2 linked regions of the Oreochromis niloticus genome follow. The protein of the gene in region 2 interacts with the protein of the main gene of each other region in a pairwise test. Links are inferred from orthologs where the notes say so. Each region holds a gene or a part of one and is shown on either strand. Other genes may lie near its edges.

Evidence for each region. The genes of interacting proteins can lie anywhere in the genome.
Region 1: the proteins of rab3ip (region 2) and rufy1 interact in binary tests that used the Homo sapiens proteins (3 or more experiments, as listed by UniProt). The two-hybrid records come from large-scale screens. The link is inferred for Oreochromis niloticus from reciprocal best matches to the Homo sapiens genes RAB3IP and RUFY1.

What each region holds. Positions count from the first base shown.
Region 1 is NC_031966.2:28,809,833-28,816,909, reverse strand, and holds the start of rufy1 (RUN and FYVE domain-containing protein 1), read left to right. Parts: upstream 1-4,044; 5' UTR 4,045-4,081; coding exon 4,082-4,415; intron 4,416-4,663; coding exon 4,664-4,843; intron 4,844-4,931; coding exon 4,932-5,049; intron 5,050-5,150; coding exon 5,151-5,252; intron 5,253-5,330; coding exon 5,331-5,454; intron 5,455-5,543; coding exon 5,544-5,605; intron 5,606-5,764; coding exon 5,765-5,900; intron 5,901-6,006; coding exon 6,007-6,108; intron 6,109-6,200; coding exon 6,201-6,317; intron 6,318-6,421; coding exon 6,422-6,589; intron 6,590-6,686; coding exon 6,687-6,784; intron 6,785-6,870; coding exon 6,871-6,990; intron 6,991-7,077. UniProt on the Homo sapiens protein: Activating adapter involved in cargo sorting from early/recycling endosomes. Regulates retrieval of proteins from endosomes to the trans-Golgi network through interaction with the dynein-dynactin complex.
Region 2 is NC_031981.2:19,555,569-19,562,549, forward strand, and holds the start of rab3ip (rab-3A-interacting protein), read right to left. Parts: upstream 3,097-6,981; 5' UTR 2,945-3,096; exon of another isoform or gene 2,846-2,944; intron 2,394-2,845; exon of another isoform or gene 2,268-2,393; intron 2,164-2,267; exon of another isoform or gene 1,926-2,163; intron 1-1,925. UniProt on the Homo sapiens protein: Guanine nucleotide exchange factor (GEF) which may activate RAB8A and RAB8B. Promotes the exchange of GDP to GTP, converting inactive GDP-bound Rab proteins into their active GTP-bound form.

The DNA.
Region 1 (7,077 bases), on a different chromosome or scaffold from region 2:
CTCAGATTACCCATCATGTTGGTACTCCCGAGTGAAATATATGAAAGCTAAAAGAAAGTGTGCGTGTGTTGGGGGGGGGGGCATAAAAAAAATCAAGATTAAGATGATTTTATCCAAAATCATCTTAATCTTTTTTATCCAAAATCATCTTAATCTTGTGCGGATTTTTTTTCAAAGATAGAAAATAAAATGTAAAAACTGTCGGGAAATCAAAAGAAATAGGAAACTGAAACTTTAAAAAAAAAAAACTAAATTCTTGGTTCCTTTTGTACATATTGACTCATGCTTTCTGTCTGAGTGCCGTCAGGGTTTGGTTGTGTTTAATCCAGGTAAATCCGACGGTTCAAGCACTCACAGATTTAAAGTATGCGTGTCACAGAATCAGAAGTCCAAATATTAAGTAAGATACATTAACAGTCCATACTTACATTTAAGCAAGATAATTCAACAGCGACGCTGAGGAACAGGAGGACAGGAAACGTAGTAGATGACAAAATATACAACTGCAGTAAAAACTGTTGATGATGTGCTTCATTTGCCTCTAAGTATTAAAAGCGCCTTTAACGGGTACGAAATGTGAGCGCCACCACGTGGTCAAGAATTACACAACGCTGTTTTTACTTATTGGCTTCAGTTTAGGTAGTTTCCAGAGTTACAGTTAATTTCACTTGTTTCAGTTTATTTGAAAAATGTTTAATTTTGATTTACTTTTTTTTTACTTTTTGATATACTTTTTTACAGTTAGTCATGTTTTCAAAAATTCACAACAGACATTTCAATACAAACACCACTTCTCGAAGGGCAGCTGGTTCACAATACTGTAGACCTCCCAAATCTAAAGAAAGAAAGATTACAAAGCATCATCAGGCCACTGTGATGCCAAAGGTGACTAAAACTTAAGGCCTTTCCTGTGTGTTTTTATTTTCACTTAGTTTTGTGATAACACAAGTACTTTTCAGTTATCTCCCTGCCTTCCCTCTTTTTTTTTTTTTTTTTTAATTTCAGGTAACTACACAGACTTGGGTAATTTGAGGAGCAAGGTGGTGAGGTGGTTAAAACTGTCAACTCACAATGTGAAGGTTCTTGGTTCCCTGGGCTTCCTGTCTGTGTTACTTCTCTCCATGTACTCCAGCTTCTTCCGCAGTCCACAAATGTCCATTGTAGGGTTAACTGATGATTCTAAATCGACCATGGATGTAAGTGTATAGCTTAAAGTGCTGCATAAATGTATAGTTCAAATTGCTTTGAATGGTCAGTAAGTCTAGAAAAGTGTTGTATAAATGCAAGTGCATTACATTACACAGAGGAGTAATGGTAGATTTAAGTGCAAAAGGAAGGACTGCAAGCTCCTAATACGTTTATTCACTGCCAGTAGATCTTATTACTACTGGTGTCATGCAGTTCTGAGGTAACAATTATTCACTAGAAAATTATCTTTTGATAGCAATGTAAAATTCTCCCTTCAGCTCTCAAGTGCAAAAACATACCATCAATAAGTTAATATCACAAGTGCTTCAATTGGATTAAAGTATAGTCTGACTTTATGGATGGCTGTGTTAACATTCTTAGAATTAATAATTAAAGTTGGAGTCAATTTAAAGCAACACAAAATGCATCAAATAAAATTATAATAGATACACAGTACATCAGCATCACAGCTTTTGGTGTTATTACTACTGCAGGTTTTCTAGAGATTTAAGGCTTTACTACTAAGTGCATATTCTTACGATTCCCGTCATAGTAAAGCTTCTTTGGCTAAAGCTTAACTACACTGTAGTGTGTTTTGAGGTCACATGTAGGGTGGGCTGCTCACCACGTATGGAGTAATGAATTTGTCTGCCCTTTGTATTCTTAGGCATCAACCAACTCTGATGTGACTGTAGACACCGAATCTGGTGCGCCAGAATGTCATACTAAAGAGATTCTTTTAAATACACGGGGTGGAGCGAGTCAGAAACCAAGGGCACAGTGATGATGTAGGTCTGATCAGAAACGGTTTATTTCCAGGCCAGGGAGCAAGAATGAGAAATAATTCTAAAAACATAATAAAATGTTGTCAATACGCTAAAATTCCCACCGAGCCTAGATAAAACAATTCTAAAACTGGTAAAAATGCAATTTTCTGTATGCTCTAAAAATCCCACCCAGTCCCACAACCCAGGACGAATGTTCGTTATGGGTTCACAGGCCAGAAATTCCTCTTGCGGAGCTGCGTGCATGCCAGAGGAGCCTCCGATCCCCTTCTCGTCCCTTCATTGGGCCCATCACTTCCCAGCCCAGCTCGCATTCTGCACTGGAGTCCGTTGCTCGATGCCATCGCGCCTCTCCTCGCGTCATCGCCCTGTAAACAAATAGGGGCCAGAACCATCGTCCTGGAAGCTGCCCTGGCTTATAGCCATGGCGACCCTCTCCCAACACGGCTGCACCTGGTGAACAACAGTGGAGACACTACTCACAAATGCAGGCAGAGGCATACCTGTGCCCTGCTGTCAATCACAGGCGTTGTCTCCTACTGTCGCCGTTCCTGCTGTCGCTACCGGTCCGTCTCCAGATGAGGCGTCGCACCCCCACGATCAGGCAGCGGGTCCCTTTTGTTTTTTGTTTTTTAGATGAAACCTGGCCTTCATGCTTTCCTTTTCATATCTGGAGCCTCTCTCCTCCCAATCCCCAGCCAGCTTCCTTTTAAAAGGTCCCTTAAACAGCTGATAGGCCACCTCTGGACACACCCATGTCTCAGGTGATCACTATCAGCTAATTTGTCCCATGCCCAGCCAGTCCACAGTGGATTAAAACAATGTCAAATAAACCACTTAAAACCATGCAATACAAACAGAATAAAATCATGCAAATAAAAACTACACTCACAAATAAAGACTAAAAAACAGAATAAAACCAATGTAATAGATAAATACAAATTTCCACTGTGTGACATGACCATTCAATCTCAAGTAACATGACTTATTCTTCTTCTCCATCTTCTTCTTTCATCTGCCACCTAAGGGGTCACCACACCAAATGATCTGCCCTCATCTCACTCCATTGTTACCATCCTCCTCTGTCAACCCTCTGCATCTCCTCCTTCACTACATCCACGAACCTCCTCTAAGGTCTTCCTCTTTTCTCTTTTATTCTTTCCTACCTGGCAGCTGCATTTAGCATCCTTTGTCCCGTATCTCCACCATCCCTCCTCCAAACCGTCTCAGCCTGCCTCTCTAACTTTGTCTTCAAACCACTCAACTTGAGGTGTCTCTCTAAAGTAATTATTTGTCCATACTGGTCACTCCGAATGAAAATCTTTATCTTTAGTTCTGGCTCCTGTCTTTTTGTCAGCACCACCATGTCTAAACATGAATCACAGCAGGTCTACCTTCTTGTAAACCTTTCCTTTCACTTTATGCTTCTCTTACAATCGCCTCCACCAGCTTCACCCTGCCTGCGCTCTCTTCTTCACCTCTCCTGTGCACTGTCTGTTAAGTTGGATGGTTGAATCCAGGTGCTTAAACTTATCCACCTTCACTCTGCTCCTTCCAGCTTCATCGTTCCATCTGTCTCCTTCTCATTCATTCATTCAAGTATTACATACTTATGTTATGTTACTTTTTAATTTTAGTATTATCTTACTTGTTTTTTCATTTGTTCTCAGTTTGATTTGTCTCTACATTCATGTTTTTAAAAAATGTTTATTTAGGATGTATTGCCTTTTTCATTTATTTTAAATTGATAATCATTATATGTTATTTGTTTTTTGTTGTTTGTTTTTTTACATTTTGCTGTGTCTTTTAAGTGGTTCAAAGTCCTGTGAACCACACTAACCTAACACACTAACCTGAAAGGCACAACTAAAATTTCATTGACTGTAAATAAATAAAAATAAATAAAAACGCGATCTTCAGTTATTAGATATTTGTCAGTCCGCCACTCTCCAGCCAAATCCAACAGGTGGCAGTGATTTAACTCCAGTGTGCTTTGCTAGCAGCCAATGAATCAAAAGTAAAAGAATGTCAGGCCTCACAAGCGTCCGTTATTGGTCTAAGGCGATCACGTGATTTGTACACGAAAGGAGGGCGGGGGGAGGGCAAACATGGCTGACGAGGCAGGGGAAGTAAACACAGCTGTTACAGAGCGCGACGAAAAACAAGAACAAGATGAGCCCAAAGTTTTAGGACCAGCGACTAATGGCGAACCGGATGGTGGCAGCGAGCAGGACTGGACCGAGAGGCCGGCTCCCCAGGTCGCAGAGGAGAACAGCTGGTCGGCTCCTCTCCTGTCTCTGGCTCGTAAGGCCACGGAGACGATTAGCAGCGGGATCAGCTACGCTGCTGTCCAGAGAAAGCCCTCACAGGGATCCGCGGCGAGCTCCCCGACCGAGAATGAGGCCGAAAGTGACCTCAGTAACTCAGCGAAAAAGCTTCCAGGTAGACTTTGATTTTTCTGATGCCTGCTAGTTAATGCACTTGGAGATCGAAACATTGCAGCTGTCACAGGCACTTAAACACTTGACTAAGTGTCAGCTGTCACATCACATGACTCCAAGATCAGACTCTTGGTTTTTTTTGGTTAGTGAAGTGCTCCTTGGCTGGTAATGTGTTTGGGGTTTTTCCGGCTATGTCATCTGACAGAATTAACCTCAGAGCTTCTGCTTTTTTTCATGCTTTCTGTACAGTTGTTCCCCCCAAAGACTCAATGGCAATAGAAAGATCCAACCTGCTCAGCATGCTGAAGCTCAGCATCAGAGTGTTGATTCAGTCTTCTATGAGTCTGGGCAGGACGCTTGACTCAGAGTACCCTCCTCTGCAGCAGTTTTTTGTTGTCCTGGAGCACTGCCTCAAACATGGCCTTAAAGGTTAGACGTAAATAAATCTGACTGTTGCTGTTGTGCTATATTTATCTGCCTGCATGCTGAATTTAATTCTGCATGCTGTCTGATTCAGCCAAGAAATCCTTCATTGGTCACAACAAGTCTATATGGGGACCACTGGAGCTGGTAGAAAAGTTGTGCCCGGAGTCTGTCAACATTGCCACCAGTGCCAGAGACATGCCCGGCATTAAGTATGCCATTAAAAAACATATTTCTATAATAAAACTATAGAGATCACAGCTGTGTTTAATTGCACTTATACTGTCATTCTTGTTTGTTTGTTTTTTCCTAGGACCGGTTTGGGGAGAGGAAGGGCTTGGCTGCATTTGGCGCTTATGCAGAAGAAAGTAGCTGACTATATGAAGGCCCTGCTGGACCACAAAGACCTCCTGAGGTCAGTTACGCTTGTTTTATAGTGCATTATAAACATGGGTTTCTTCCCAGCATCCACTTTACTTTTTAAATCCCTTAGTGAGTTTTATGACTCTGGAGCACTGATGTTGGAGGAGGAAGGGTCGGTAATGGTGGGGCTGCTGGTGGGCCTCAACGTAATTGATGCTAACCTTTGCATTAAAGGGGAGGACCTTGATTCACAGGTTAGTGATGCTGTTTTGTAAGAATCAGTTTCACTCTGAGGAACAGTTGCATCGAGATACAGAGTGATCTGCTCTTCTTTCCCATTTAGGTAGCAGTCATCGACTTCTCACTTTATCTGAAAGACCCTGCCAGCAATGAGACTCCAAAAGAGTAAGCATCTACACTGCTTTACATTATTATTTTAATCAGGACTGTTCTATATTGTTATTACTGTTTAAAGAATGACCCCGTATTAACAAATCCTTGCAAATTTTTGTATAGATATGTCTCACAACTATAAGATGGTGATTGTATCGCTTCCTCCCTTAGTGATTCGAAGATGACAGCCATATTGGATCAGAAGCACTACATCGAGGAGCTAAATCGTCACCTAAGCGGCACCGTCACTGACCTTCAGGCTAAGATGGACTCTCTAGAGAAGACTAACAGCAAGCTCGTAGAGGAGGTTAGGCGTGCTTTGTGTGTGCAGCTGTGGGACTCTGTTTGCGCTGGATTGATCCTCTTTAACGTCAGCTGGTATCTGTGTGTCTTGTTTTTCTCCTTTTCCTCAGCTGACAGCCGCCACAGACAGAATCAACTCTCTACGGGAAGAACAGGAACAGCTGAAAAAGGAGAACGAGACGATCTTGCAGTCCAGCCAGAGAAAGGAGGAGGTGTGGGGAAAAAAAGTATCTGGGACTAATTGCAGCTGAAGCCCCTCCTGATTTTAAGAAGGAATGAAAAATGCCATGTTTTTATTTTTCAGGCAGTGCTTCAGGACAGCCAGGCAGAGCTGGAGACATACAAACAGACTAGACAAGGCCTGGATGAGATGTACAATGTGGTGTGGAAGCAGTACAAGGAGGAAAAGCGCATTCGCCAGGTCAAGTATCAGTGACCTCCAGGACAGTTTGAACCAACACTCCACACCTGGTGTTTTGGGGTTTTGACTCAACTCTAACTGAATTTGACTCCCTTGTGTATTAGGAGCTGGAGCGTGAACTGGAGCTGCAGGTGGGAATGAAGCAGGAGATAGAGGTGGCCATGAAACTGCTGGAGAAAGACACGCATGAGAAACAGGACACGCTGGCAGCCCTACGGCTCCAGCTTGACCAAGTCAAGACTCTCAATGTGCAGATGTTCCACAAAGCTCAGGTACAAATAGATGAGCATGATTATGACTTTGTCTTTCGCACTTACACACACACATACACACAGATTGCGCATTTGTCCAATTCATGTGGTTTCTCAGGACTCGGACCGCCAAGCAGAAAAAAAGCAGGCAGAGGCCGTGCAGCTTGAGCAGAGGATGAATGAAATGGAGAACACCATGAAGGAACTTGAGCAGAGGTATGCGTGCTTGCCCAGGGTGAGATTCAGTTTCGCGTTTACATTCCTTTAAATTGACGCTCCTCTTCATATTTTGTGACTCATAGACTACAGAGGTCGGAGCAGGAGCGCAAGCAGAACGACCAGTCAGACGAAGACATGAAGGCGGAGCTGCAAGGAAAAGTCGATGCTCTGCAGAAACAGCTAACAGATCTCGATACGCTAAGGTGAAGAATCGCAATTGTGGGCATGGAGAGGGGGGGTATTGAATGTGGTATTAAGCAGTACATAGAGAAAAGGTTCATAAAAGGGCA
Region 2 (6,981 bases):
AACACAAAGAGAGACTTAAGTACAAATAAAGCTGCTGTCACTCCCTCGTTGTATTTTAAGAGCATGCTGAGTGACTGCTTTGTTTCTCCGTCAGTATCATCATGTCATCTCTTCTTCTGCGCCCGTCATTAGGCCTGATTAGGGGTTTTGTTCCCGCCGCAGTGAGGCATGCTGGGAAATGATCCTCAGCTGTGATGCCGTGTCTCGGACTCCGTTAACGTTGAGTCGTGTCATTGTTTGGTCCGAGTTTCACTGATGCTGGAATGCAGCTGACAGCAGGCATTAACGTTGCATTCAAGGCCAATCAGACATCAGACTACAAAAAACTGCTGATGATACCTGATATAAATGAATCTCCTGTTTCCTCTTGTGTGGTTTGTTGAGGAGGTTTGTGGTTTCAAACACGGGGCACAGAAATCAGGAAGTAATGTCAGATTAGGATATATCTGTCAGAGGTTAAAGAGCCAAATTCCACCAACCAATCACAACTTCCAACCAACAAAGAGAGTTGAAACAATCAAATACTGCAAAAGATGGTGATTTTAGATAATTTAAGGTATTTTGGTTTAATTATTCATCCCATAAAATATTAATATAAAAGAAAGAAAGACAGCTCACATGTCTGACACTGTGCCGCAAGAAAAACACATCAGCACAAACTCATCCAGGATGTATGACACATGGTGATGGACATGAACACACACAGGTGAAACTCCACCTTCATTAAAAACAACCTGACTCCTCTTCCCTGCCTGCCTGTCGCCATAGAGACCAGTCCTAGAGAGCTTGGCGTGGTAACCCGACACGTCGTGCAAAGACCGGGTTACTCGGGCCGCCCGATGAAGGCTCATCCTGTGTCTCAGTGGCGGTGTTTACGCGAATCCCAAACAGCTCGACTGACCACAACAATGAAAAGCTCACCATCAACAGTTTGCGGTGACAAATGGGTCAAAATAAAGGTGCCGGGGCTCCGTGGCACTGACCTGCATTTATCATTTAACAGAAAGAAGAACAGGTGAACGCCGTCCTTTAATACATCTCCAAAAAAATAAGAGCGTCTCGCACAGACAGCCATTGAAGGAATACCTGCTTCACCAAACATACGACGACCAGGCCTGACAGAGCCTGTTTGATCCAGAAGCCTATGAAACTTCTGTGTGCTTACAGATGTGTACAGGTAATGGTTGTTCCCATAATCAGATGTATCAACTGAATTATCAGGATTTAAAGACTGAGCAGAACAAGCCAGACGTTAAAATCCTTTTGGGTCTGTTCAATAATAGGATTAAGCCTGTAGATTTCTTATACTTACTCCTCGATATGTAAAGTGCAAAGGGAGGTCAGTTTGCATTCATTTATTGGTAATTATTCACACATTTTTCTACATTTTTTTAAAAATTACTTGGCAATTTAAAAAATAAATCATTTCCAGCTTTTCTTCAAGAATTTGCCTTTTTTTCTAAAACTGGAAATGTGATATTTTTATTTTCAAAAATGGAATTTTTTTGTGAATTTGCAGGGTTTTGCTTATAAATTTAATTAAGCTGCAAATTTGGATTTTTTTAATCATTTAAGTTTTTCTGTGTGAATTTGGTAGTTTTTCTAAATAGATTTTTCTTTTAATTGCAGATATACTTAAGGTTTTTTTGGCCAGTTTATCTCGTACATTTTCCTATTTTGCCCACAAACTTGACATTTGTTTTCTTGTACATTTAAAAATTTTCACTTGAAAACTTGCCGGTTAATTCTCATAAAATGTGTAAATGTACAATTTGTATTTGAAATTTTGCCAGGTTTTCCTGATAAATTTTCTCATTTCTTGCCATAAATGTGCCAGGTGTTGTCGTCTATATTTGTACTGTTTTTTTTCTCATAAATCTGCCAGGTTTTAATTTTTTTTGAGCCCTGGGGTTTCCTCTTCTTACCTTCAGTGGTCCTGACACACTGTAGTACTTCAGAGAAACCAGCTCAGCACAAAAACTGCAGCATGTGCACAAATATCACCTGAGTTTACACCTGCAACAGCGTCTCTGCTCATTTACCCGACCTCCAGCTCTCCCTGCACCCAGATGGGCTGCTTACAGTGTCACCTGTACGCTGGAGGTCATTCCTCCAGGTGAGCTACTCCTGCTCTCAGGTGGTGTCTTGTGGACAGCTAGCAATAGATTAGCCGCGGATAGCACGTTAAGTGACGTTACCTATTATGCTAATGCATTAATACGTGAGCACCTGCGGGGGGCTGAAGTTAGAGAGCTAAGGGCTGTCACCTGACGCTGTCTGAAAGATGCATGATAGCGGCGTCTCTGCGCGGAGCTTCGGGTTTCGCTGCTACATCGGGCTAAGGATTAGCTGAGCAGCTAACGTTAGCTGGCCAATTACTTGACATTAGTAGGGTGAGTGTGGGCACAGGTGTGTTAAAACACGGAAATGAAGCACATGACAAGAAGAGAACTATTTAAAAAAAAAAACACAAACAAAAAAACAAAACAAAACCCAAACACATCCGTCCTTCTCATTCAGTAAACATCAGGGAATGGCTTGCAGAGGGAACCCCTGCTTCCATTATCGGCCACTGCTCTAAGCCTGGCCACGGCTAGCTAATTTCATTGATTACATCAAACAGATGAATGCACGGATTTATGAAACTGCGGATTCGCTTTAAAACACAGAAAACTGAGAGAGTGACGGAGTGATGCTGAGAGAGAGGAGAAACGCTGTCCGATAATGGGCGCATCGATGCTTTTTGTATGTAGCACGCAAGCTAGTGGGGCTGAGCAAGTTCGCCCAACTCAGCGACTCACGGATTAAAATAAAAACTGTAACGAGGCCTTAAAGGTGGACTCACCGGACCTCCGCGTGCACAGCAGCCCAGTCGGTCAGTCTTCCTAACGGTAACGTGCCGAAACAGCCCGAAAAACAGACAAACAAACGGAGAGACACTCACCGGAGCGGCTGTTGACGCAGAGCGGAGCTCCAACTGACGGGAGGTACGTTCACGGTCCGCTGGGAAACCACAGAGCCGCCAAGCAGTTCGTCACAGTGCAGAGAGCAGGAATTCATTACTCGGCATTAGGCCCATTAACAAATAAAATTACATTACATTTAATTTAATTGTAAAGAAAAAAAAGAGAGCGCGTGAAAGAAGAAACAAATAAAGACTAAGAAAAAACAATTCAAATTAATATGAAGCTCAAAAAGTCTGGACTTATGAACTAAAAGTTGTAAAATAAAATAATTATAATAATAATTAAATAAATAAAATATTGTGCTTGGACAGAGAGATAATGTTCGGAGAGAATAAAAATTAAGATTTATACAACTAAAGGTACAATATATGAAATATATCATAAAATAAAAATATCGCTCAGTGAGGGGAATAACTATTATGATAGTTAAATTGTTGTTAAATGTTAAATTTACGATGTTAAAGTTGTGAAAACACAAAATTAATAATTAAATAAAATAAACACACACAGTAATTATTTTTTTAAGTGATTCAAATATATAGTAGGGACGAGATAATATTCAGTGACAAAATCCAAGTTTATTAAGTTTAAGTTGTAATAAACAAAATTGAAAGTTTACTTCTACCACTACTACTACTACTACTACTACTACTACGACTAATAATAATAATAATAATAATAATAATAATAATAATAATAATTTGTAGCTCGGAATGGGAATAGTATTCCCTGATGGTCCCTGAGTATGAGGGAAAAAATGAACAAACAGGTGGTATATTCCTTGAGATTAAGGTCTCCAGTGGTTTTAATCTTTAAATGTTCACTTCATTCCAGTCAGAGAGGCTGTGTGTGAGGATGAAGATAAACAGTGAAGAAGAATTAAAAGCCACCAGGGGGCAAACAAGCCCCGTTTTTCCAAGTTTAAAGACGCGCTATGTTTTGTTGTGCGTGCGCTCTTTGAACACACGAAGACGCGAACCCGCACCATCAGAGTGCTTCCTCGGGTCTCTGGAGCTGTTCTCTACTAGATCCTGTTTCTTCGGGGCTGCACATGTTCGCCCTCCTCTCAAACATACTGGTCCAGATTTGTGGAAAATGGTGGCACAAAGTCTGGTTTTTACCACTAGAACTCTTTCTGACCAATGAAGGACGTTTCTTTTAAAATGCTTCATAGCTTCTATCCAACTAACCACTACCATCAGAGACTTGAAGGTGATATCAATTTAAATTATACTTTTTGTGGAACCAATAGGAAACAGTGGTTCATGAATTCAAGTTCTCCAGTTACTTTTTTATATAAAGCAAAATATTTACTCAATAATGGACAACAAGAATAAAAAAAGCCTCACCTTTTTAAACATTTTAATATACTTGTATAACTGAGTGTATTTGAACGATTTTAACGCTCTGTCATTCTGCGTTGATGTCAGCCAGTCTTAATAAAGTTGGGGGGAAAAAATCAGGGTGCTCAAAACCCGAGTAATCTGTAAGTTACAGTTACTCAGTGAGCAGCACAGCGAGTCCCGTCACTGACGTCATATTACGTTTTATGACTGTGGAGCTAAATTTAAGTATTTTACACACAATTTGGAGTCTTTATTGTAAAACAGAGACACACATATGTCACTCTGTAACTGTGTAATATGGAGATATGATATAGATATATAAAGATTATAAAGATGCAGATTCGGGGAGCTGGCTGATCTATATTTGATTTAAACTGTTTCTATTGTTCTTCTATTGTTGATTTTTTTTTTATGCAGTCCCAAAAGAATGATAGGAATGTGATGAGTTCAATTACATGTCAAAACAAAACAAAACAAATCTCACATGTCCTACTGCTTCTGAACCCATCCCTATGATACTCTGAGGTGTGTGTGTGTGTGTGTGTGTGTGTGTGTGTGTAATATATTTCCACTGTGTCACACACACCTGAATAAACCACACACACACCCTTCTGGGGGTGGAGTTTCCCCGTGTTTTTAAGTGATGCGTAACGAGCCGGGTGGTGTCATTACGCACACGGAGCTCGGACTATCGTTTCCAGCCAGATTAGAGGCTGATGTTGCTGCCTTCTCTGTGAAGGAGGAAAATCATCTGTCCAGCTTCTGGTTTGAACTTCAGGATGATTCGTGCGAGGATTTTATGGGTAAGTTTTACTTTCTTGCATTCTGCCGCATTTTGTTTTGTTTTTGTTTAGAGTTTTTTTCTGTTTTTGCTTGTTTGTTTGGTTTTTTTTGTCCAGGTGTAAAATGGAAAAGGAAGTTTTCTAAGGCAGATTTATTTTTCAGTGATGGTCTGATAGATGTTTAAAGTTAAAATGCAGTACACTGAAAACACTTCAGAACATATGGACAGACTTTCCTATAAGAATGAGAGACACATGTAAAGACTGATTTGTCTGTTTGTGACCATCTCGTGAAAACCGAAATGATCCACTGTTAATAATCATTTCCATGAGCAGGAATGTGTGCATAAAAGTATGTATTATTCGTTATCGTTTAAAGGAAAAGTTAAGTTCATGAGTAATTAAAAATGTGCTGTATTTCAAATGTTGAAAGCAAAGATCATTTACAGCATTTCAGTGAAAAAAACCATTAAAAATAGAGTCGTTTACATCAGTTTATCAATAATCATGAAGGGATATAAATAAACCAAAGAAAATCTAAAGATGCTTAAAAAATAATGGACTCGGGAGAAATATTAATATTGATAACAGAGGAATGAGTGCGTGTAACTGCCTGGGCTTGGTTTCATTCATAACTGTGTAGTAACACTCCTCTGTGTGTTTCATCATTGACTCAGCATTTATTACCTACAGGTCCTGAGCCAGAGCAAACCAGCTGCTCCCTAATTGTGACCGTGAAATTATTCTAGATTAGCAGGAATTAGAAGGATACATATTTTATCTAATTTAAAAAAGAAAAAAAGTAGAAATCTTTATAAAATAATAACAATAATAGCTTAACAGTGGTGGAAAGAGAACAGTCTGGGTTCAAGTAGTCAAGACTTAAACAGAAGTATCATTGTGGTGTTCAGTTTTTAATTTTTTTTATGGAAGGTTTTTGGCATTTAACCCAACAATGATGCTCAGAATGAGCCTGTGCCTCAAGATTGAGCATTTTTCAATCTGAGTTATGTTGATTTGAGGGTTTTCTTTACACAACTTGGAGATAAGTTGGTTCATAATTGATCTCCACACCTGCAGAGCCAGTTTAGCTGTGTGACAGCTAACAAAGTGTTGTGCTCATTGTACTAAACCTAACGCCCTGCTGAACTGTGACTGAGGACCCACGTGAATCCAGGCTGGTTTCAGACCCAGGCTCATTCACTGTGACCGCCTCGTCTATACTTAGGTTTTTCTTGGCTCTCCAGTCACTTCCTCATTTCTGTCTTTTCAAACTCATCAAGCAGCATTTCTCTTTGTTCTTGTCATGAGCGCAACATCAGGCAGGAATGTGTTGGCCAAGGAGCTCGTTGGTTTCGGCTCTGCAATCCTGTTCTGCAGTCGCCTGCTCTCGGTTAACTGGTCCATCAGGTGCTGTGGACTAAATTTACCCTTGTGCTCCGTTACATTCCTGAGGCAAACTCTGCACACTGTACATTTATCCGACAGGTTTTTAACGCTGTTAAAGATTAATCCAGCTCTTTATGACCTTTATGACCAACAAAACTGCTGCTTTCTGCAACTGCTGCCAACTATTGAAAAAAAAATCTCCTGTAAACTGAAGGTTTTGCAATTAAATTTACAAGCGCAAACATAATCTGTTCACCTTAATATACTTTTACTTAAAGAAAAATATATTTGTGCATATAGTTGGGGTTTTTTTTTGCAGTAATAAAATCTTACATTTTATTGCTTTTTTATTGGGCCAAATGTGAATCTACTACAAACTTGATGTAGAAATCTTGAATAATAAAGCATGTAATAACAAAAACAGGTGGCTGAAAGATATTTTTTATTGATTATAAAGCAGCAGCAGCACCTATGAAGTTGCTAGTAATTTTAAAACCT